Caenorhabditis elegans: one gene and its partners. The protein of the gene in region 3 purifies or fractionates together with the protein of the main gene of each other region. This does not show direct contact. Each region holds a gene or a part of one and is shown on either strand. Other genes may lie near its edges.

Region 1 (7,713 bases), on a different chromosome or scaffold from region 3:
GTGAAAAAACTAAAATTTTCTGAAACGGTAATACTTTTCATATTTTTCTTTCAGGATTGCACTATCTCGCTATTTTTTGGCAATAACACATGTTCATTGCACTTCATGTTTCCCTAAACTGTAAACTGATATAAAATCATAATTTTCTTATTCTTTAAAATTGTCATTTCTAGTTGATTTTTTATTACTTTATATCTATAGACAAACAAAATTTTTCTGAAAGTTGCGAAAAAAACTCAAAGAAACAAGATTCAACGGCATTGACGATCGCCATGCTTGATTAATGACCTATGTGTCATTGCGAAATCTCTCTCGTTTTAATGAGTTTCTTCTCGATTTTCTCCTGGTTTATTTATTTCATTCAAAGTCAAATACAAAGTTATGACAAAACTACAGCTTTGGGACATTTTATAGTTGTTTTAATTATTTTTCGAAAATATCTCTAACATCTCTCTGCCTCCATTATTGTTTTTCACCGCCTCAATTTGAAAAAAACAACGGATATTAGGTTAATCCAATGTGGAGCCAAATCAACGTTGCATTGTCGACTAGTTGATGTTGAACTCGATCGCCTCCATTTTCAGTTAACTTGACATTTATTCACTCAAACATGTCCTTGATGGATCGCTTTTTATTCAACTTTGAATGGTGTATTTTTCTTTTTTTCCGATATTAGTTTTATATGTATGCATGTGTTAAAAATTTTTAAAATTACAGTGAGTGGATCTTTATTGTTTTTCGAGAGTTTTTACCTCATTATCATATAATTTCTTAATTTCTGTAAGGATTTTTCAAATCAGCATTCAGTGCAAAAACTATTCATTTCGCGAAAAATATACTTGTACAGCTTTATAAATTTCATAAACAAAAACGTTTGTGATAATGAAAAGCAACTCGTTTTCACAAAATGTTTTACTATGTGCTAGGATGTGCTATGACTAAGTGTTAATTAAATTTGTTACACGTAACTTTTCATCCGAAGAAGCACCTATATACATTTCAAAGTAACTCTAAAACAAATAGATTAATCACTGGAAAATATATATAAAAAGTCGCGTAGTTTGAAGTGTTCGCCCGGTATCCCATCATTTTGAACTGGCTTGTTCAAAAATCAAGCACCTTGAACAAGTGTTTGCAGACTCATTATTGAGTTTCTTACTTCTATCATACTCATTTTCCTCTTCCTTCCTTTTTCTATTTGTACTTATTATGTTTATAAGGATAACACTAACATGTTTTCAAAATGGAAAATATACTTAAATGCTGCTATTAGTCTTACTATTGTGAACCCTACCTACATATATATCGATGATTAGAGAGACCATAACTATGCCTAACTAAATTAGAAAAATCAGATCTTAATGTCATTTCCAACTACATTCCCTAGATACATTTTTGCGAGAACTATTGGTAATTGTGTATTTACGATTAAGAATTTTTGTTAGCTTTTTTTTGAACATTGGCAAAATTACAAAAATCCAAATTTATTCTTTACCGACTGAACTTATCGAGAAATTTTCCCGACGTTGCTAATTTTTAGTTGATTATTCAAGGTTAGAGGATAATTCATTCGGATTTTCTGAATAATTTTTGAAGATGAACTTACAACAAAATCCTGATATTGTTATTCTATCATGAATTGTCCTATGCCATTCTAATGAACACGTCATACCGAGGACTTTCAAATCCCGCCCATTTCATGTAAAATCAAAAGTATTTTATCAAGGACATTCTACCACATAGATATGTGAAATGTCCAAAAGCCGCAACAAATGCGCACAATTTTATTTTTAGTTGTTTCGATACTTTTTACCGGTAATTGAAACTCATTTTTACAGAACTTTTTTTTTCTGGGATCTCTTTTTTCTTTTGATGCAGCTTATCTCACAATCTCATACCTTATTTTTGTTTTCCGGTTCCCGATCAATTTCGCAATTTTACGTAATTTCGTAGTACTTTTTTCCGTATTTATTTTTAAGTGAGTATTTGTTAATATCTGTTTCAAATGGTCCATAAATATTAGCCAATAAGTAGAAACCATACTACAACAGTTATGAGCGACGCCCATCACATTTTTTCTTTAAACTCTCTTCATCTTACTCCGTGTCTAGCCCTCTCATATAATGTTTGCAGAGCAGTCTAAATCTTGGACTCGCATCAGGCTTGTTCAACAAAACTCTATCTAATTTTATACGCACTATCGAAATCATTTAATTACATTAATTTTCTAACAAATACTTTATTAAAAATTCAAACGGTCACTCAATTTCAAATCGTTTTTCTCTATCTCTCATTCTCTCGCTCTTTCTCTTACGGAACCATATGTTTGTTTCCGATAAACTCTTCATTTTCCCGCCTTGGCAGGCGCTTTTTATGTTTTGTTTCTTTTCCATAGTTACTCTGTCAAAGTTACATTGTTCTTTAATTGATGTTTCCTGCTTGCAAATTGAATTTAGTAATTTTTCTTAAAACCCGTGACTTTGGTTTGCACTGTTCGTTCGCAAACAATCACGTCATTCACCGTCTCTATCTATCATATTCTCGTTTTCATATCGACATTGATTTTCAGTCGCATTATTGGATAGTGGAACATCTTTAAAGCATCGCCGGGTCCACTTTTTATGTGCGTGCCATCATGGTTCTGGAATTGGCCTTCCTTACACTTCTGGCGATAAGTGCCACCACAGCCAGTAAGTTAAATTGTTAAAAAAAATTTCGGAGATAAATAATAATACATATTTTAGAGTAAATAATAATATGGTTAGCCATAATATCTTGTCAGATACATTTTGAACGAACGAACTGTCAATTGTTTTCAGAACTCAAGACTGTTAGCGGATTACAACTAGTAGCATTAAAAATGAACTGAAAAATGATAATGAGGGAAATTTTGTTGCTTTTAAAGATAAATTTAGAAGAGCAGCGAAATCCAAGAACGAATTCACTCAAACTTCTTTATAGTTTCCATCAACACCATCAAATACCCAAATGCTCTCTATCCAGCTAGTTTATCCCGAGGAGGATTCCGAAATGAATGTCCATATCTTTCGAAACGAATTGATTTCTGTGTACCAAAATACGAGGATTGCTTTGGACAATTGAGATCTGTTGAGGACTGCAAATTGGATTACTGCACTTGTATACACGTCAGTGAAGCTACCGAAACTTGCCAGAAACATTTTGGAGACTCTTGTCAGTCGGTGCGAACGAAAGGAGAAGTATACCGAAAGACGATCGCCGAAAATCGAACGAAAACAGTTGTGAATAAACTAGAAGCAATTTTTATGAAACTCTCAGATGCGTTTTCTAGTCTGTTAAAAAATTGTGGCGTGGTGTCAGAAATGGAAGAAAAACTACATCAAGCTGTCAGCCAACTTGACACTCAGAATCCACTTTTGAACTTGACTCTTGTTAGTTTTTCCTTTAATAATTGAAAATTATCTAAATAATGTTCAGAAGTACTTAATTCTTCGTAATCTCGAGTCTCAAATGCTCAACTCTACAACATGCCAAAATTCGAAGACGTCATTCCAAGAAACTCTGGTTAAACGTGGGTTTTTTGAGGTCAAATATACTTTCTGTACTTTTGTAGTTACCGTATTAAAACGGTGAACAAGTCTTTTAATAGCAATAATTCTTAAAATTTTCTCAAAAGTATTTTTTGGAGACACGAAGTTAAAAAAGGCTATTTTCAACACAAATCTCAAATTTTGCACACTTGTCCATACAGAAGAAATTTTACGGACAGTTCGTGTATTAAAGCAATAACCCAGATTTGGCTAATCTACCTTCAATATCATTCTCGATAGATATGAACATTTTATAAATTCCTATTAGATTCACTATTGGAAAATTTAACTTTAAGAGAAAATGACCGATTTTCAGTAGACAGTATGAATGCCCAACGACTGCACATACCATATCCATTCTGGTACATTGGAACTGAATTTGGACCAATAGGAAAAGTGATCATGAGGTCATTGGCGTATGAAACTTGTGATAAAGCGTCTTGTAAGTACTTTTTTACTCTTTAAGAATTTTATGAAACTTGTTAATTTTTAGTGGATTTCAATCATCATAGTGTTGTACGTGTCAACTGCTACGACCAACAAAAAGATCAAAAGGACTGTGATGAAGCATACAGCGAAGGAAACTATGTAATTTTAAAAATTATTTTGTTGGTTTTAAAGAAACAGAATTAATTATTATTTTCAAAGCTATCCAATTTTCAGATGACACTGGGAACAATGGATTCAAAAAAACTGGTTTGCAAGATGTTCGTTGATTTTAATGAAAACTTAAAATCACTGAGAGCTGAGGATTTCTATAAGGAAGCTGCAGAACATCGTAAGAATTTTAATATGAGTTTATCAAGATTCAGATAATTTTAAAATGGATTTTTTTAAAATTAAATTTTTAAACAAATCTCTCGTCATCCCGTCCAAGTTTCTCTCAAAAAATGTTTAGTTTCGATAAAAAGACAATACATAGTTTACGCTGCGCCCGAGTTTAACGCAACGTTGATCCAACTTTTGCCAAACTCTCACCCAAGTTAATTTCTTTTGATTCAAGTTTACATTTTTGGGCGAAACGTGGGCAAGAACAGAGCGCCAAATGTCAAAGGGGTATTTTTCCACTTAATTTTTCAGACAAAGTTTCTTCGACTACAAGTATAAGGGGTCGATTCAATGAGGGATTTACATCATTTGTTGATGGATCGATGACTAGAAGAGGTGTGTTTCTTGGTTTTAGTTCAACTTAAATTATATGTTTTCAGATACAAAAAATGATTTTCTTGTTTTGGAAGCATCTGAAAAATTGCCTCTTCGCCTTCTTGACTACTTTGATAGTGTTTCTTCGGAATGTGGCGCATCGAAAAGTAAGTTACCAAAAATTTAAAAAAAAATTTTTTCAAAAAACTATCTAAACAGGATCTGCAGGTGTTGTTGCTTCATGTGGGTTCATGTTCGAATATTGCATTCAATTTTTTGGAAGAGACTGTCAAACTCGTTTGTCAACTTGTCTGAATGATATTAACGAGATGGATTATACTTGTGAAGATGCAATCAGAAATATTGTCAAAGTTCTGTATCCGGATACAAATGCAACATCAAAGTTGGAAAAATATTCTTCAACTGTTGAAGTTGCCGAGACTGGGTTCATTCAAACAATTGGTGCAATTGGTGCAATTGTCATTGGAATTATTTTTTTTGTTTTGATTACAGCTGTTTTCCTGGTAAGAATATTACTTGTTTCATGAATGAAATTACTTTTTTTCCAGATGAAATTTGAGAAACGTTCTTGCAAACGTAATTCCGGACCCAGTGAGCCACCACATCAAGGTGATGGAAATAGACTTCTTCCTGCTGATAACTCTCCTCTTCATCAGCAATTGGTTGTCATCAACTCAATAAGTTCTAGCTACACGGATCTCAATAATAGCAACGAAAAAAATGTTGAAAAAATATTAAACAACCAAGCTGAACAGCAAGAAGAACTCAAACACTACACCTAATTTACCGACATTCCTAATACGAAAAACCTGTAAATCTGAGATCCTTGGCGTAATCTCTCGAAAAACCGAGAGTTGAAAATGATCTCAATGCAATTACGGATCAATGAATTTTGTATCACGTTACTATTTAGCAAACTGGGAAAACTTTCTTGAATCTTCAGTAGGAATAGAAGTGAAGTTAGTAAATAAATAGTATAGATTGTATGAAAAATTTCACCATCCTAGATTTCTTTAGGAACTTCTTAATTTGAAGCACTATGCAATTTTTTTGGAAAAGAAAATCGAGAAATTTGAAAATCATTACGTTGGCTCAAATATAATATCAGAAAAAATCAAAAAGTATCAAAATTGTCAATAATTAGGATTTTTTATGAGAACATTGTTATTGTAAATTTAATTGCCCGAACCTTGAACAGTTTCTAAAACTAATACCTTTTTTAATAGTTCAATAATTTTTTTTCTTGCCAAGAAACGTTTCTCCAGTTTGATTTTTCTCTTATTTTTTACAAAAAACTGTTTACATGTTCATATTCATTTTTTAATTTTAATTGACTTTTATTTCTTTTTCTTCTATTTTCTGTTGTTTCAAAACTGTTGTACTATTGTACTTAATTGTTAGAACCTTACATTTATCAAACCCGAAATCTCATAATACACCTCGAACATACTCAAGCATGACATCCGGTTTCCTTATTCTTACAATATTTGTCTATAAATCACGGTTGGAGCCAGATAAATTGTGTCCGTTTGGCACAATCATCTGAAACCATATAAGACTATGAAAGTTGTTGCCAGTTCATTATTTGTACAAATAAATATTCTCCAAACCGAAATGATTTTTCAATTTCAGGTTACAAAAACTGATTTTCAAAAAAAAAACACAACAGCTGAAAGTTTGACAACTATGGACTAGATCATTCATACTGAAAGTGATAACCAAGAAAAAAAAAACTAGAAACAGTATTAAGAATGTAATTTACAGTTCAATGCATATTTAATTCTGAAACTGAACATATAATAATTTGTCTGTTTAATGTTTTGCAGAGTTCTCAAATTTGTTCACAAAGCAATTTTTGAGAATATTTCAGTAGTTATTTTTAGTTCTTTGGTATTCCCCACAATGTTTAAGGTCTTCAAATAATACGGGCCGCTTTTTAGATACCGAAAAGGTTGCGAATTGTCGTTTGGGAAAATGTGGTAAATCACTTTAAGTGTGCTAAAGTAAAAAATCAGTAAAAAATGCCCTCAAATCTAATTTGGAAGAATCTCAAAACTTTAAAACATTATTGTAATTTACAAAAATTAGCCTGAAAATTGTTTTAAAAACTACTTCATTTTTTTCCTTAATTTTTAATGAGAACACACGGAACATAAAATGGAAAGAAATATTCCTAATGTCCAGCATTATGATTGAAATTTCTGAAAAATACACAGTGAATACGTTTAAGCATACCGGTGATAAGAGTCTAATTTGAATAGGCAGGAGTGTTTTCATGATAGCATGTCATTCAAATTTATACTAATAATCATCGAAACTCCTTTGCATATTGATTTTATCTAATATTTTTACTTATTTGTTAATTTTCAGCGCTACGATGATAGATGAAATAGATATTTATCAACCCAACTCTATGAACTGCTTTTGGAACAGTGGAACCTGATCACGAATTTGTTATTAGATGGGTTTGTATTAAATATGTATATAAGTATTACGGAAAAATGATTTTTGAAACGCGAAATTAAAAACAAGATGGAAACTTTTTCAAATTAAGAAAAACTACTGAAATTTCAAAGACAGAGTGGAATAATTAGTATATTTTTGCGAGACAATGTTAACAGACTAATATTAAACAAAGATTCGATGTGTTTTATTTGTTTTAATTCTCAGAAAAGACTCATCACTAATTTCAGATGTATCATTTTGCAAAATCACGCCATAAAGTAATGCACTTTTTTTTGATATTGACTCATCGTTGCATGTGTGCTCTAATCAAACCTCCTCTCGTTCTCGGCCTGAAGTACATAAAAATAGTAAAATAACAATAAAATATTTTAAAATTTCTAATAATTTTCAATATTTCAGATTTTGTGACTTTCGAATCACATATTAGCAATGCTGAATCCTTCTCTATTGATCTTATTTGGTAAGTTCCAGTTTTTGTCAACAAATCAATAAACGTAGTTAATTAATTTATTTA
Region 2 (4,607 bases), on a different chromosome or scaffold from region 3:
GAACCCATACCATCTGATCCTGGACCATCACTTCCTCCGATTCCAACAATTACACCGTCATTGTGCATTGATAATCAATATTTTTCAAACTATATCAGTGAAAAACCAAAAATGGACGATGTTGACTATTTGAGCAGAGCGTTCAGTTCGTAAGTTTACTATTAAACAACATTTTTTTCGATTTGTATTCTATAGGATCTTCCAAAAAATGGTGGTTGAATGTTTTATCCTGATTATATGAAAAGATATTAAAGTTCTGAAACAGTAAATTTTTTTTTTCATCACGAAGTCCGCGACTATTCTTGGAATTTATCTTTGGAATTTTTAAGGCGGCTAAATTAAAAAAAATATTTTTTTCGGCTTCGAATTCTACACATATTCGTGTTGTGAGATTGAATTGATGAGAATTTTAAGTATAAAAATTCACAAATGTTTCATAAGCTTTTTCACTGTTTCACCGGTTGAGATAAACAAAAGCTTTAAAAAATTTGCAATTAGTCTCTTGTCCCGCAAAAAAGTTATTTAATAGCTTTTGTGAAATCTTCCAAAATTTATAAATTACAAAAATTACTGAACATAATCACTTCCCTGATATTATCGAAAAAATACGATCGCACAAATTTCTCATAATATATTTTTGATCTACCTGTTGATCTTGTTGCCGTTGTTATTTTGTTGTGGCTGTCTTGTCAAAGGAAGAGGAGGAGCCTAGTCAACAAGGTAAATCAAAAATAAATTATGAGAAAATTGTGCGATCGTATTCTTTCGATAATATCTCATAGCGATCATACTGTTGCCGGAGTATGATGAACTGTAGATTACTGTAGTATCGCGACGAGATATCCGGTACCTGGTTTGAGAAAGTTCTTTTCAGAAATTTCAATTTAGATTTGCGAAAATCCAGGGAAATCTACATGCTCAGAGAACAAACTATTTCGAGAAGCGGGGACTTCTTGATGCTATTGAATTGTGAGTTATTATGGGGACGCAGAAGAGATTTCAAAGGAGCAGAATGTTCCCTTTGAAATCGATGTGGAAACGCGCTCCACAGCCAATTAAAACCGCCCCGCCTCCCACAGTTGGGTCTCGTATTAGGTGCCAAGACTGTAAATTTAAACTTTTCAGTTAGTTTTGCCGATTTTGTCAGCTATCAAACATTTTTGTTATTTTTTCTGTTGTTTGTTAAATGATTTTCGTGCCGAATTAATTGTTATAAATGCATGTTTAGGCCAGCAGGAAACACATCAAAATAGACGGAGAATGATTAGAAAATGGTAATAATTATATTTAGAAATCGCTCGAATTTTCAGTTTTCCCGCCAAATACCTAGCGAGATAATATTTGCTCATGTGTACTTTAATGCAAAAATAATTTTTCCAGGAACATTGAGCAGCAGAATAATAAAATCAGTGAGGCTCTTGGATGCTTGGCTGTTTGCAATGAAGTAACCGAGAAGTATCAATGTGCTCTGGACAATTCTTTTCAGGTTTTAGTCGATGATTTCTCGGAGAAAGCCTTTAAGTTGAGCAGCTTGACAACTCAACTTCACGCATTACGACAGACTCATCACGCGAATCAGTAAGTGAAGTTTGTTTTGTTTCGCTCTGATGTTGAGAAATTGCAGGCAAGTTCGCAAAAATGAGGAATCTCAACTGGAAGAAATAGCGTGGCGTATTGAAAGGGAAGAAAAGAGAATCAAGAAACTCGACGGAAAACTTTGGAAATTTTATGAGAATCGAGATGGAAAAGGAAAAGATACAACAAAAGAAAGTGCATGAAAATATAAATTAAATCCCAAAATGGACATATAAAATAAAGATCATCTCAAATTATTGGAAGTCTGATAAAGAGCACGACGACCGGGAATTCGAGCACATCAGTTCAACGATTTTTCAGCCAAGTGCCACAGCCCATCGTTCAAATAATGAAGATTTTCAATTCCGTTTCCTTTATTCACAGATTGAATTTCCTCACTGCTCATTGACATCAAACCAATTGCCAACGCATGTTGCTTTCCTTCAGCCATCACAGCAACCACTGAATCCTTTGGTACGAGAGGAGTGAGTTTAGCTCCTGGCGATGTTAATCCAGGACACATTATTGAAGATCCGTTCAGGATGAATTTGATGGCACCTTTGTCGACCTGAAATTTGAATTTTCATCAATAAATGGAAATGTTGAACCAGGTAAATAATCAATTTATAACCAACCTGTTGATGTGGAAGAATGAATGGATACTTGTGAAGTGTTCTCAAAGTTGGAATGTAATCAGTGTTACGTGTTTTAACAAATCGCACGACACCCAGATGATCGGCGAGCAATTCAATGTGATCCTTGCATTTGATCACTTTGAAATTCTCCTTTTTCGGGAGGATCTCCTCAAGATGTGGCTCCAAGTAGGGGAAGTTCTCGATCAGCTTCTTGCGAATTCCTTTCTAAAAATTTTTATAATTATTAGTTAATTAAAATTAAAGATGATACCTGAACACTGGACTTGAGCTGAGTAGCGCCTGTCACATCTTCCTTCTCGTCGAATTTTTTGAACATGGTTCTTGAAAAAAAATTGTAAGATTTGAACTAAATGAAAACAAGGATAAGTTTAAAAAATTGGTATACAACCAAAACAAAAGAATTCAGCAAAATAAAAACAATGTTAAAATTCATATAACAAATTAAGGCTCAAAGTGAAGTGTCAATGGAATGTGTTAAATAAAGTATTTAAAACCTGTGAAAGAAAAAAAACACGGAATGAAAACAGAAGATGATACGAAAAGCTAAAATCACTAGAATTCACACTAAAAATTAAATACTAATATTTACATATACAGATTTAATAATAAATACAGCGAGTCCTGTGGAACGGGACTTTCTTTTCAACATCCGCAGCATAAAGTCGACGATATCCCCAGACATAGACATCAACTTCCATGGCGTTAACTTCACAAACATCAGAGAATCTTGGATCGGTTTCACGAAGTTCGTTCATCTTGGCGACAATTTCCTGAAAATTTAGCGTTTAATACAACAAAATTTCAGAAATATCTGGAATCTTACATCGCAAACTGCAATAGATGCTCCTCTGAGTTCAACTTCCGCTTTTGATCCATTCTCCAATCGTTTTCCTTCACCCAATTGGCTCAAAAGTTCTTCTGAATAATCCAGAGCACCAAGATAAGCGAGAGCTTGCGGAACACGATAGTCAGCAAACATTGTGATCGTGGTAATATCCTTGAAATTTCCCGCATCATCGTGACCTTGAAGGGATCCATAGACATCCGCAACGAGAATCTGTGCTCTCTTCAGAAGCGAAACTTTTTGTCCGTTGAATTCGGCAAAATCGCGGAAAGAGACAAAGTTTTCGACGATTAATTTCAGCAAAGTTTGAGCGGATTTCTCTGATTTTATAACACAATTATAAAATTGTCCATCGAATTTCTCGAGAAGAACTTTTCCTGAATCATTGATAGCCTTCACTCGATCGTCAAGTAGTGGAATTGAGTGTCCTGAATCGGATTTGAAAATCCTGTCGATTTCTTCTCTGCCAACATTTTTCATCCATTCAGCAGAAAGTACTGGAATTCCGGCGGCTATAGCCTTGTTGACAGCGGCACATGCTGCGAAGTAACCAGTGTAAGCTTTTCCACCCCAGCTAACATCATAGTGATCTCCCTCATCCGGCCAGAATGAGAAATTGATTGTATCCACCAATAATACCCTGAAATTAATTCAATTTAATATGATTTCAAATTTAAAAAGATCAGATTTGAGGAATAGTTACAATTTAAGTTTTCTCACCACTGGACGGCATCTTTATCTCCACTTTTCGGGTGTAATTCCGGCGATAAGAAAAGAGCTTCTTTCAGAGATCCATCTTTTGCAGCTCCGAGAATCTATAAATATTAATCTACATTCATTCAACATTTATTTTTAGGATTTACATGTTCTGCTACTTTTCGAACGCCTGCCTGGTTGATTTTGACGAGATTTCCATGCTCGACGATGAATTTTCCAGATTCCGCAGGACCGAGGACTTCGTCAATAAGCATTTTCTGACCTAAAAAGTGAAAAATATGTGACAATTCTACCGAGTAGTAAAAAATGAAAATAAAAATTTTAAAGAGAAAAACGTGTTTGTTACGACGCTCCGCAGATGTGTCTCTGCGTCTCCTCCTTCTGCACAGTGCCTAGCAAATTGTCGTACGTTAAAGTGTCGTGTACGCAATGCAGACTGAAACACATTTTATTTCTCGACAAAAAATGCTGTATTTTTATATTTAAAAAATTAAAGTCGTCGTTTTACAGCTTTTTCAGATGTTTTAAAAAGTATTTCTTTAACTAAAAATCAATTAAATTACCCACTAATAGTTTCGCTAATAAAAACATTTTTCTTGATTAATCGTACAAAATTAAGGACTACATTGGAAACCTGAAAAGAAAACATCTGAAAAATTTTATATACGAAACCAATAAAAATCTGTTCATTCGGTGAAAGCACAATTAATATTCGTAAAGCGTTTTTGAATACCTCGTAACAATATAACCTGAATACATTAAAAAAGATAGATCAACAAGAGAATGTAAATAATTAAAAAATGAACTAATCAACA
Region 3 (7,212 bases):
TCTGTGAAGGTCTGCTTGAGTGATTTAGTCAATGTTGGGAAATCCGAAACTGAAATTTCCGAAAATTTAATTTTCGAACAAAAATATCAAAAGAATTGAATACATTTGGCAAGTTTTTCTTTGACCGTTTTACCCATCTGACTCTGACAATGCTCTGCGGCGCGTGGTCCTGCGTGACCATCAAAAATCGCGAAAAATGATGCACGAGACCTGAAGAGGGAGTATTGGAAACTGTGAGACTTGGACTTACAGAAATGATTTTTCGGTTCCTAAATCGAATTTTGGAAGCATTATGTGAGTGTCTTGCATGTCAGCTCGTTCTCCTTTTCGACAACCGTACGCGGCAAGAGTGCAGTAAAGATCTTTAAATATAATTGGTATTTTTATTATTTCAGGCGCGAAATTTTGTGTTTCTTGGACCAAAAATACGGTACCCAGTCTCGATACGACAATTTTTGTTAAATACGAACAGATGTGCGTCTTCCGAATTTTTTTTATTTATTTTTCAGAGTTTTTCTCTTGATTTTGTAAATGTTTTAATCCATAAATATATTTTTATCGAAAAACTACAAAAAGTCGATAAAGATTCTGCAACTACACAAGTTTGAAACTACAGTACTCTTCAAAGGCGCACACCTGTTTGTATTTAATAAAATTTATTACTGAGATCGTGGTGAGACTCACTCTGAAACAACCAGCGTGCGCCTTTAAACTGAAGTTACGATACTTTTTTTTAAAATTGAAATAAATTTTGAAGGTTTTTCGAGGCACCACGGTTTCAAGATCTGATGGGATTCCGGATCTACGTTTTCCGGATCTACCATTTCCGGATCTACGTTTTCCGGATCTGGCACCGTGCCAACGCACAAAACGCTTTTCAACGCACGACTTTTTTCGAAATTTTCTTCTAGAAGAAACGCTTAACAATACGCGACGGGTAACATCGGAGCGTCGTTGTCACTTTTTTCTTCGAAAAAAATAGCGATTTAAGAGTTGGCACGGTCAGATCCGGAAAACGTAGATCCGGAAAACGTAGATCCGGAAATGGTAGATCCGGAAAACGTAGACCCGGAATCCCACCAGATCTTGAAACCGTGGTGTCTCGGCTTTTCATGAATTTCCAGTTTTCAAAGTTTTTCTATTTTTTTTCTATTTATTTCAATTTTCCCAAGCAATTTTTTTCAAAAATAATCAATAAATACTCACTTCTCGATTCCTTCGGTTTTTTCGATTCATCTGAATTATCGATCAAGTCATCAGAACTCCGTTTTCTGCTATCCGAGTACATTTTCTGTAAAACAAATTTGTTAGCTTGGAACATTTATGCACATTTTTGGTTTTCCTTATCGAGATTTTTCAACAAAAAATTGTGTTTATCCTGTCTAAATTTAAAATTTCCGCCGATTTTGTAGACGTGCAAAAATCGCATTGATATTCGCTAAACAACACGCGTAATCGTTATTTCGGAGTGTTGTACGAACCGCCGAATTGATTTTGTCCCTCCTTCTCTCTTGTTTTTGTGTGTTCTCTATTCAGAAAGTAGCGAATTTATTAAAATTTTCAAATTTGATTAATGAAATATTTAATTTGAAACAGATTTTTCATGTTTTTGCTCCAAAAATCAATAATTCCAGGATGGCCGCGTCTCTCCGTCATATGGCTCACTTCCAGAAGGCACTTCTCGTCGCCAGAAGCGCTCCAAGAATCTCAACAATCGTTAGAGCCACCTCTACTTTAAACGATGGAGCCAGCAAAGTTCCAGACCACTCTATGCACTTTAAGGTGGGAATTTTAAGGCTTAAAAGCAGAGGATAATCATAAATAATTACAGCTTGAACGTCTTTGGGCCGTTGGAATGCTCCCAATTCTTCCAGCATCCTACTTCATCCACGGACCAGTTATGGATGCCGTTCTCACTGTTGCCCTCACTCTCCATATTCATTGGTAAGGGAATTAAATCGATTTCACATATTATTTACTGAAAAAGATGGAAAATTTCGAAAAAAAAATCATAAATTAATTGTAAATATTATTAACAACAAAAAAATCAAAATTTTTCAGGGGAATCCACGGAGTCGTGTACGATTACGCTCGTCCATACGTGATCGGAGAGGCTGCTGCAAAGGCCGCTCACGTCGGAGTCTACCTCATCACTGGTCTTCTGCTCGGCGCACTCCTCCACTTCAACACCAACGACGTCGGAATCACCAAGGCCTTTGAACTAGTCTTCTCCCTCTAAATCAGTATTGAGAAGTTGAAAAGCTTTCATAATCCGTGTTCCGCCTGTTCATCTTCCCCGCTTCTCTGTTACTGCGAAATTTCCCCCGGCCTCAAGATTTAGTTCCGAGTTCTTTTCTAGTTCGAATTTTAATGTATATTCTTCCAAATGAACTGTTCTAACATCTGCCGAATTGATGAGATAATAATGAACGAATTGGATTATTTTATTCCAAATATTATATTGATTTTATTCAGATTTTTAAAGTTAAAAAATGAATTAAATATAATTATATTCAGATGGTTCACTCAGATGAATATAAAGCGAAACGACTTGAAAGGAAAAAACGGTTTATGCAACAAGCGAAGAAGAACAACGTTTTTAAGGTATAAATTAAGAAATAAATAACAAAATTTATTTAAATTTATATAGAAATAAATAACAAAATTTATTTAAATTTATATAAAAAATCAATTTTCAAGGCTCGCCGACGTAACAACTTCTCAAAACGACCGAATTTCCACAATCACCAACAGGAAAACCAACAGGAGCAACAATTTCAAAAACAAGACAGCACAGCTCTCAGACAACGTGGATTCTTCCAAGTTCTTCCAACTGATGACCTTCCACAAGTTCCGCAGTGCTCTCATGGTCCTTGTCTGCTGTTCGAGAAGAAAAATGGTCCAGAAGTCGAGGAGACATTCTTTGCATGTGCAATTTACAGAAATCAAGCCGAATTTTGCGATTTTAAGTTGACTTTCAACAAAGAAACCGGAGAAATTGAGGTGAAAGAAGCTGTCGAAGGAGAAGAAGACGCAGAGAAAAAGAAGAAGAAAAAGAAGATTTTTGGATATAATCGAATCCCAAAAGCGTGAGTAATTAAATGTTTTAAGAAATTTCCGAATAAAAAATATAATAATTTAATTCAGTCTCACCGAAATGTCACCAACGGACACAGTTCTGTATTGCAAAACGTGCATTAATGTGTTCCCGAACAAGCATGAATGTGTCTGTGAGCCCGTGGAACGAGAGGCTCTCGAACGACCAACTCACCTTCTTCCACCAGTAAATGAGCAACATGGAGAATCAGTGAGTATTTTTGCATTTCCAAACGTTTTTATTATCCAGACGCTAAATTTTGCTGGTTTCGGCACGACAAATTAAAATGGCGAAAAAAAAAACAAAACGGATGTGCGCCTTTAAAGAGTACTGTAATTTCAAACGTTCGATGCTATGGAATTTTCATCAATTTTCCATAGTTTTCCCACGATTTGTTGAATTTTATTTGTTTTATTTGATTTATTTAAGTTTTTTGAAAATTCGAAAAAAAGCGCTTTCAAACGCAAATTTTTTTCTATTTTTCCATAGTTTTTCGTTGAAAATATTTTTTATTTATCAAAATAGTATATTAAAAACAACTAAAAAAGCACATAGCTTTAACAAATTTCGAAAAAATCGATTAAAAATTGTGCAGCAACAAAAGTTTGAAGTTACAGTTCTCTTTAAAAGTTAACAAAAAAATTTTGTGTAGGTTCACCTACTTTGGCTCAAAACAATCTGCACATTTCATAATTATCACCCCAATTTTCAGCAATTCTTCTTCTCCACTGAGACACTTGATGTCATCACGAAAGCTGTTGAAAAATCAAAAGTCGACGGAATTCTGTGCATCGGAGCTCCTAGAGTGAGTTTTTTTTTTGAAAAACGAATTTTCAAAATCAAAACTTGGAAACAAAAAACATTTTTTTCAGATCTTTGAAAACATTCGAGCCCTTCACCCGGAAAAGAACGTGTTCCTGTTGGATTATGATAAACGATTTGTAAGTTATTAAAACCATTTCCTTTTCAAAATTTATCTATTTCAGGCCAAGTTCTTCCCATCGAAACAATACGCTCAATACAGTATGCTCGTTGATCACTTTTTCGATAAAATCGCAGAGCCAAAGCTTATGGAATTCTTCGATAAAAGCAAAAGCATCCTAATGATCACCGATCCACCATTCGGAGTTTTTATGGAACCACTGCTAAAAAGTATTGAAAAGATGAAGAAACGATTTGTGTCAACTGGGAAAGAGGAAACCTTATTTTATTCGATGATTGTTCTGCCGATTTATATTCGAAAATACGTGCTTCATGGAAACTTTTGGATGTCTGATTACAGAGTTAGTTTTGGAATTTTTTTTTGCTCAAAGTGAGCAGAAATGACCAAAAAACCGAATATAACTTGTAAAAATTTGAAAAATAATTTTCTAAATTAAATAAAAACAATGTTAGTGGGTTTAAAACTAAATTTTTGAACAAAATTTTTTTATTATGAATTTTCAACAAAGAGGTTTTTTTTAATAGAAACATTCAAATTATTTTTGAATTCAATATTTTTTACTTTTTCCAACTATAAAGAAAATCACAAAGTTCTAAATTAGCCTTAAAAATCGAAAAATGAACATTTATTTTAACTATTTTTTTTGCGAAAAAACGTCCGAAAATTTTATAAATTATGTTTAAAATCAAACAAAAAAACCTATCATTATACTTAAATATAGGCGGAAAACGAAAAAATGTCGAAACTAGGTTGCGGGAATTTAAAAATATTTCGGCCCTGTTACCACTTAAAAAAAAAAAAATTTTTTTTTAAGTAAAAAAACAGTTTTATTCGGTTGGGACTATTTCCTGCCATTTAGGGCAAAAAATGTATTGAATGTTACTTTTTTAAAATTTATTAAATCATTTTCCAGGTCACCTACGAGGGCCACAAGCTCTATCAACATTCCGAGAAAACGATCGTCCGCCTGTTCACCGATTTGCCAGTGGAATGCATCGATTTAAAGAACGTCGCCGGCTACAAATTCTGCGAAGTCTGCGATCGCTATGTCACCGAACGAAATGTCCATTGCGATCGTTGCCAGGCGTGCACATCAGTGGAACAAGGAAAATGGAATCACTGCGAGAAATGTGATAAGTGTGTCAAGCCGAGATATGTGCACTGTGCTCAATGTGCCAGATGTCATTTGTACGGGAGATGCATTCAGAAGCATGATGAATAATTGTTTTTTGGTTATTTTAAGGTTGTTCTGTTGAAATTGTTACCCTTTTTCTTTTATTGTTATTGTTTTTTGTTTCCCATTCCCTCTATCCTACTACAAAAGTTTTTTGTTTTTCTTAAATCATCATTTTATTAAGATGAAAAATCGCCAATTGTTTTTTTATTCTTAAGATGAGAACACGAAATCCTTCTCCTTCTCTACTAGTTATTCACACTTTAGAATTGAATACTCCACACACTTATTCTCTATTAGTGTTTGCATATCCTTCCATCCTAACAGCTATTCAACTGTTTCTTTCCGCTCCTTCTAGGCTTCTGATGACGTGGCAGCAGCAGAAGCATAGACCGGAAGCAGATGACGTTGAAATTCGGACACTTCGTGTCGTGACTCTCATCTCTGTCGGGATTACTGTAGCTGCGATATTACTTGGATTATTTGGCAGTGTTATTTTATTTGCGAAGACTTTGACGTTTCAGGTTTCAATAAAAAAACATAATTTCAGCTAGCTTGAAGTCTATTGCAGAACGAACTAGAATATGAGCTACGATATTGTGTGTCTAGATCTCACGATTTATGGGACATTCTGTCTCAGGTTAGTTTTGTGGAAAGAAGCCATTAAATGGGCGGAGTCTATTTTAGCTTTTTATTTATTTTTTAGAATATTTTTCGGAAATCGAAAAGTACTCGAAATATATTAACATACAGGCTCTGCCCATTTCTTGGCTGTTTTACATTTTCACAACAATTTATCCAATTTTTGCTGAGTTTCAATTTTTTTTAAAATTTCCTTTCATGTTTGCTGTAGTGTAAGCACAAACTTGCCTTATTCCTACCTTCAAGGCGACCTATGACTGCCTTGCGCCTACACAATAAGCACCGTAGGTAGGCGATAGGAAGGCATGAGTGAGGTACTAACGACGCCTCGAGCAGAGGAATGTTCGAAAAAGTGTCTAGAAAATGTAAATATACATTTGTCAGAAATAAATCAAGTTTTTTTTTCGAAAATCAGAAAATATTTTTTAAAAACCATTTTTCACAATTTTCGTGATAGCTTTCTACTACATATTTTCTATTTTCTGAAATTATTTGTATCGTGATTCCGTAAAATTTTGACATGCCAGTTTAAAGGTGCATGCGTAAATTCCGGCTGGGTCTCGCCACGATCTCAGCCACAGTGTCTCAGCTACAGGTGGCAAATTCTACAGATTTTATAATTTGATCTAACTTTACGGTTCCTTTTCCAGCTCGAAACGTCAAAAGGAGTTGCAATTTCCCAACGTCGAAAACGCCAATTCTTCATGAATTACTGTAACGATGTGACAAATTGTGGTGGACCATCGGATTGTGGTCAGGAGACTGGGTGTGCTATACATCCAGTGCATTCATGTGGTGGAGGTGGAGGATGCTCCCAGCCAGTTGTAGTTCAGCAGCCAGTGATTCAACAACCCATTGTTCACAGCCCACAGCAGGTGGGTAGTTCCTGCCTGACCTGAGTTTTTTCATATTTAGTTTCAGCAATTCTGTATTTTCGGTCCACCTGGGCCTCCTGGAATTCCGGGCCTTGATGGAAATGACGGGGACGATGGATCCGAAGGTTATCCTGGTGTTCCTGGAGCTAATGTTCCAGATACCGTACTTCCAGAAATTGATGATTTCTGCTTTGATTGCCCACCAGCGAGAAGTGGGCCGCCAGGGCCTCCAGGACCAAAAGTAGGCCTATTTGTTAAAACTTTTCAATCAGTCAGTCTTTACTTACAGGGCCCCCGCGGTACTCCAGGTCCAACTGGCCCAAAAAACTTCTATATTACATCAGGCCCACCAGGCCCCCCAGGTCCTCCAGGCCCACCCGGTAATCCGGGAGGCATTGGTCCTCGCGGCCCACCAGGTGATCCAGGCATAATGACTCAAGACTCAAGAGGTGTCGAAGGACCAAGTGGACCATCTGGACCA
Region 4 (4,951 bases), on a different chromosome or scaffold from region 3:
GAAGTTTATTTTGCCAAAAGCTAGAAACAAAAGTTCTTGGTTAAAACCAGCCAAGAAAAATTGAAGAGGATTTCAAGAAACCAAGAAACTCAAAACTCACTATTTTATACTAGAATCACAAAAAATGGTAAAAAATTAAATCAGACTATCAAAAACTTGCACTTATTGAATAGTAAAGTCCGTAAACGAATACTTTGGTACATGAACAAACACTAGCAGAATTTCTCATGCTTTGAGGTTTTTCTCCTTTCGGCTTTTAAACTCTAAAAATAAATTTCTTGGAAATTTTTTGGTAAAATTTTGCCCAAGAAACAAGAACAAGAAATTTTTCTCAAACCGTGAGAAATTCAAATTAAGAAATAAGAAATTTGAATTTTCTGCCAGCTGGTTTTCCAATGTCAACTCATTTGTATTCTTATCAACCATATCCTCCTATACCATTTTCAAACAAAGTACCAACAATCTTTGATCTACAAATAGGAACAGCATTGTTGAATCCAGAAGAATCCAATTTTGAAAAAATTAGTCTCAAATCACTCGATTATCTACACCAACCAGTTTATGATTTTATAGAGATGGAGTTCTGAAATACTTGACAGTAATGACTGATCGGTCGTTTTCTGAGACGGTAAAAAATAACAACGTTCAGAAACAGTAATTCTATTTTTAGTTCAACAGATTTTTTATTCTTGTTGTTTCATTCTGTAAAAACGAATTTTTACAGAATGAAACAAGAAATCTGTAAGTTGAAACAAAAACAAAAATTGTGCCCTTTTGGTAGAATTGATATGGAAATTTTTATTATTGCTTTATTAGACTCAAAATTGTCTGAAAACACCGAATTTCATAATGAAACTTCATGAAAACTTCTCAAAATTCAAAACTAAAAAAAATTCGAAAACTTTTCTTTCAATACCATCTTTAAACTATTCGTGTTATTGGGGATTGTGGAAATAAAAAATAAGTTCGAAACGTGCTCTATCGATAATGTGTCATGTACTCCCCGAGAAGAACTTTAATTGAAGACTACAAACAAATTGCCTCAATAACCTCCCAAAAACTTGTAGATTTTCAAGATTTCCAGTTGAATTTAAACATTTTGACAATCTTTGAGTGTTAATGCAGATTTGAAATACTATATAATGTTGAAATACTGTACTAGTACTAAATACAAATGAGAATTGGAAAACTTTTTAAGGTTGATTTATACAATTATTATTGTTGAGAACTGAATAATTGCCATTTTTTCACTATAATTTCAAAAAATGTCAGCTAACAAATATTAGACACTGACTGAAAAGAAATTATTAAATACTTGCAAAAAATTAGTTTGGAACCAGTTTCAGGATTGTGTGCCCTATTAATCGGTCAATGTCAAATTTTTGAGTCAAACTGGATGAGCCATCAGCGAAGAGTTAAATCAAATTTTTCACATCTTCTTGAATTAATCAACATTAATTAAAAGTCATCATGATTACTAAAGCCTCAAGCTATGGAGGACGAGAATACATAATTTTACAATATACAAAAAAGAAAGAGGATGCTTTTCCAATGAATTATTCCTTATCATCTGCCTCAGTCTTCTTCTTCTTTTTCTTCTCACTCTCCCAATCACTTGGAACGTCCTCCATAGTTGGATAGTCCGTCTTCTTCTTCTTGACACCATCAGCAATCGCTTTTTCTTTAGAAGTTCTTTTGAAGACTTCTGGCACAATCTCCTTCTTTGGCTTCTGATCCTCATCCTTCTTATCTCCTTCCTTAGCTTCTTCCTTTTTCTCCCCATCCTTAGCATCATCCTTCTTTCCTCCTTCCTCCTTCTTCTCATCTCCACTATTTTTCTTCTCTTCACCTGAATTCTTCTTCTCCCCTTCCTTCGACTCTTCCTTCTTTTCCTCCTTCCTTTCCTCTTCCTTCTTCTCCTCTTTAGCTTCCTCCTTCTTTGTGGCGTCCTTCTTTTCCTCCTCCTTTTTCTCTGGAACTTTCTCCTTTGGTTCCTCTTTTTTCTCCACTACAGGCTCTGCTGGATGCATGTTGGCTGTAGTAGAACCCATTGTGGTGGTTTTGATAGCCGACATTGCTTTTGTCTTGTCCTCCTTCTTTTTGTTCTTTGCGCCCTTCTTGCCACAGAGATGGGCAGTAACTGAAAAATTGAATTGTAAAGCTCCGTTCGACTGTTGTAATTTTTCAGCGAAAAAATCCTGATTTCAAATTCACGCAAAATATTACTATTAGCGACTTTTTAAAGCAGATATATTTGCACACAGCTTTTTTAAAAATTATCCAACTCACCGACGAGAGTAAAAACCAATACCAATAGTTGGGCCAAGCCATGAATCTCTGCTAAGGAACTCATCGTACGTTAGAAAAGAATCGAGAAATGAATTGATCTCGACGATCTTTCGTTGTATGAATCTCGTTATGAGAGAGTTTTTGATTTTTTTTTCATTTTAAATGGGAAGTCAGATTTCACGTGGTGATAAGCATGACAAAGTTTATTTTTGAAATTAATTTTGGTGATAATTTTTTTTAAGTTAAAAAAAGGAAAAGTTTTTTTTTTATTCGTCTTCCCTATAATGAATATTTCTGTCAAGCCTATAGGCTTGACAAAAATGTTCTGTTGAAAAACCTGAATTTTTGTACCAAAATAATGAAAACCAGTACGTGCATTTTAACAATATACAAAAATTTAAAACTCCATCGGTAATAATCAAGTTATGAATTTTGTTTTGTACAATGTTTCTTACAATTTCCTTCCGTGGTCATTTTGATCTTCATTTTGACATTTTGACATTTTGACAACAATAAACTCAAAATGCTGGAAAAATTGTAGAGATCTAGTACCAACCATTCTTGGTTATTTTTCTCATTATTTTATTAGAGTAAATATGTTTCAAGCCTTGCCGATGTGTCGGCCGTGAGTTTTCCAATTGCCATATTCTTCATGAAAAACTGACGTCATATAGCTTCTCCCACTCAAATATTGACAGTTCGAACGTACATTCAATTCATAAATGTATCACATCTTTCTATCATATATTTTCTTCATATTCCATTCAATATTTTCCCATTCGAATTGGTTTTGTCATTTGCCCTGGCAGTTATGGGGGCGTCAAGCAACGGAAAATATAAACTTTTTTTCCATTTTCATGACGGTTCATTCAATTCTCTGCAGAAAATTTTTTCTTTATTTTCCTTTGGTTTGAAGTTAATATTTTATTCTGATCAAATTGATTTAGAACAGTTATGTATATTTAGAACAATCATATAAATCAAATCTTAAGTTAGCTATACTTATTTGTAATTAAAAAACAACAGGTATAACTTCCGCAAATTCTTTTTGGGAATAAACTAGATGAAATTAAAAACAATCCGTGCTATGATTGTGTTCAATTTAAATAATTTATGTATGCAACTTATAAAATGTTTTGGGTAAATTGAAAACTGGAAGTTACACCAAAGAATATCAAAACAATGTTCCCATTGGAAATGTCCACAACAACGGACTATTTTCGAAATTTTTTGTGTTGAAAGCACTCGATTTAAAGATTTTGTTTTTGCTTTCTATTTGTAAAGGGGATCTAGCGTCAAAAGGAATTTCGTATTAAAATACCCAAAATAGGGTAAAATTTAAAAGATACCTCAAAAGAAAACGAAAAAAACTTGGGCAAGAATGAAAAATTTAACATTTTAAAACGTAATTGCCAATTTTAAATTAAATGGTTTTCATAAGGTCCCTCAAAGCGTACGTGCCTGCCTGTCAATGTGCTTACCTATCTCCTATCTGTCCACATTTTGGTATTTGTAAGTTATAGATTTACGTGGCACAGCTGAAACTCTTTACAAGTTTAACATTTTTAGTTTATAGTAATCATTTATTATAAAGTTGCAAACGTTTCTACACAAGAAGAGGCTCGCATTTAAGACAGACATAAAAGCGGTCTTGGTTCTATTTGGAAAGCCTGAAATTTATTTTAAACATTTTTCATTTGAAACAAACAACTGATATTAAAATGTGCTAGACTGTGCTCAGTTGGACTTAAAATAGGCACATGATTATTTGATTTGTAATTCTAGAATTTTCACTGATTTCATAGTCATACTTGTTTAGATGACGTCGTTTAACCGTCATTTGACATATCTTTTTTTCGGTACTCGAGACCTTTCGATTCGTTGATCACTGTCCCAAATTCTCTGAAAGTCGTTGTCTGATTTGCATAACATAATCCATTTTTCTCTTCAAAAAATCAAACGTTGTTCATGTCCATGCCATTTCAATTTCTCTGAAATAACTAGTCTATCTGTTGTCATTCGATCTGTATTTGGTCACTTCCTATGGTTTTCGGGTCATTTTCAGACAAACTGTTGTATTTCGAATTTTGATGTATGAATTCAAAAATAGAATCCGCCTTCTATTATCAGTCATATTTGTTTTCATTATTCTCAGTTTTCAAAATGAGTTCCCTCATGTTTGACTATAAAACCGCACGTTTTCCATTCATTCTTGATCATTTCAAAACATTTATGCATGTATCATATCCTTTTTTAAACTTCTCTATTACAATTTCCAAAATTTATAAATATTTTCTCTAATTTTTTAGCAATCAAATAAAAAATGACACGAGCTCGAAAAGTTCAATGGGCGGATGATGATGATGAGACTGTGGAGAATCAGAAGATATCCTCATCAAACTCAGAATGCCTCAAAAAATCTAATTCAATCACAAAGAAGTTGGTACAAGTCAGAAATTATAGTGGATATGCTGAATCACATGCTGATGGTAATTTTTTACTCATTCATCCAAACTTATGACATTTATTTAAATACCGTTTTTTTTTGAACTCACAATTTAAGGATTCGAAAGCTGAAAAGCACCATTAGGAAGTTTATTTAAATGTATTAAAAAATAGGACAAAAATCGATCAAGCGTTTGGCAAGTTGTCCATTTTTTCA

The links.
Region 1: the proteins of F33A8.4 (region 3) and C44H9.5 fractionate together in Caenorhabditis elegans (co-fractionation; one large-scale study listed by BioGRID). This does not show direct contact.
Region 2: the proteins of F33A8.4 (region 3) and C11D2.7 fractionate together in Caenorhabditis elegans (co-fractionation; one large-scale study listed by BioGRID). This does not show direct contact.
Region 4: the proteins of F33A8.4 (region 3) and K08F4.5 fractionate together in Caenorhabditis elegans (co-fractionation; one large-scale study listed by BioGRID). This does not show direct contact.

The regions. Positions count from the first base shown.
Region 1 is NC_003283.11:12,844,721-12,852,433, reverse strand, and holds C44H9.5 (uncharacterized protein), read left to right. Parts: upstream 1-2,569; 5' UTR 2,570-2,635; coding exon 2,636-2,690; intron 2,691-2,961; coding exon 2,962-3,410; intron 3,411-3,456; coding exon 3,457-3,550; intron 3,551-3,885; coding exon 3,886-4,011; intron 4,012-4,062; coding exon 4,063-4,157; intron 4,158-4,232; coding exon 4,233-4,347; intron 4,348-4,649; coding exon 4,650-4,733; intron 4,734-4,777; coding exon 4,778-4,879; intron 4,880-4,931; coding exon 4,932-5,236; intron 5,237-5,281; coding exon 5,282-5,515; 3' UTR 5,516-6,343; downstream 6,344-7,713. Other genes in the region: C44H9.6 (DUF19 domain-containing protein), read left to right, coding at 7,629-7,659.
Region 2 is NC_003282.8:6,152,846-6,157,452, forward strand, and holds C11D2.7 (PUA domain-containing protein), read right to left. Parts: upstream 2,552-4,607; 5' UTR 2,548-2,551; coding exon 2,482-2,547; intron 2,436-2,481; coding exon 2,211-2,435; intron 2,144-2,210; coding exon 1,877-2,143; 3' UTR 1,779-1,876; downstream 1-1,778. Other genes in the region: C11D2.3 (BLOC-1-related complex subunit 5), read left to right, coding at 1-149, 889-969, 1,381-1,578, 1,625-1,778; C11D2.4 (Queuosine 5'-phosphate N-glycosylase/hydrolase), read right to left, coding at 2,831-3,001, 3,055-3,715, 3,796-3,890, 3,939-4,046; unc-77 (Sodium leak channel NALCN), read right to left, coding at 4,598-4,607.
Region 3 is NC_003280.10:11,044,336-11,051,547, reverse strand, and holds F33A8.4 (CTCHY-type domain-containing protein), read left to right. Parts: upstream 1-2,517; coding exon 2,518-2,604; intron 2,605-2,700; coding exon 2,701-3,089; intron 3,090-3,147; coding exon 3,148-3,307; intron 3,308-3,809; coding exon 3,810-3,902; intron 3,903-3,969; coding exon 3,970-4,038; intron 4,039-4,083; coding exon 4,084-4,380; intron 4,381-4,953; coding exon 4,954-5,262; 3' UTR 5,263-5,579; coding exon of another isoform or gene 5,580-5,738; 3' UTR 5,739-5,762; downstream 5,763-7,212. Other genes in the region: ilkp-1 (PPM-type phosphatase domain-containing protein), read right to left, coding at 1-49, 104-210, 251-362, 1,207-1,288; sdhd-1 (Putative succinate dehydrogenase [ubiquinone] cytochrome b small subunit, mitochondrial), read left to right, coding at 1,636-1,782, 1,832-1,944, 2,062-2,239; col-83 (Nematode cuticle collagen N-terminal domain-containing protein), read left to right, coding at 5,580-5,738, 5,786-5,854, 6,507-6,731, 6,778-6,972, 7,021-7,212.
Region 4 is NC_003282.8:10,133,512-10,138,462, forward strand, and holds K08F4.5 (uncharacterized protein), read right to left. Parts: upstream 2,407-4,951; 5' UTR 2,354-2,406; coding exon 2,290-2,353; intron 2,141-2,289; coding exon 1,557-2,140; 3' UTR 1,421-1,556; downstream 1-1,420. Other genes in the region: K08F4.12 (Ovule protein), read left to right, coding at 4,613-4,778.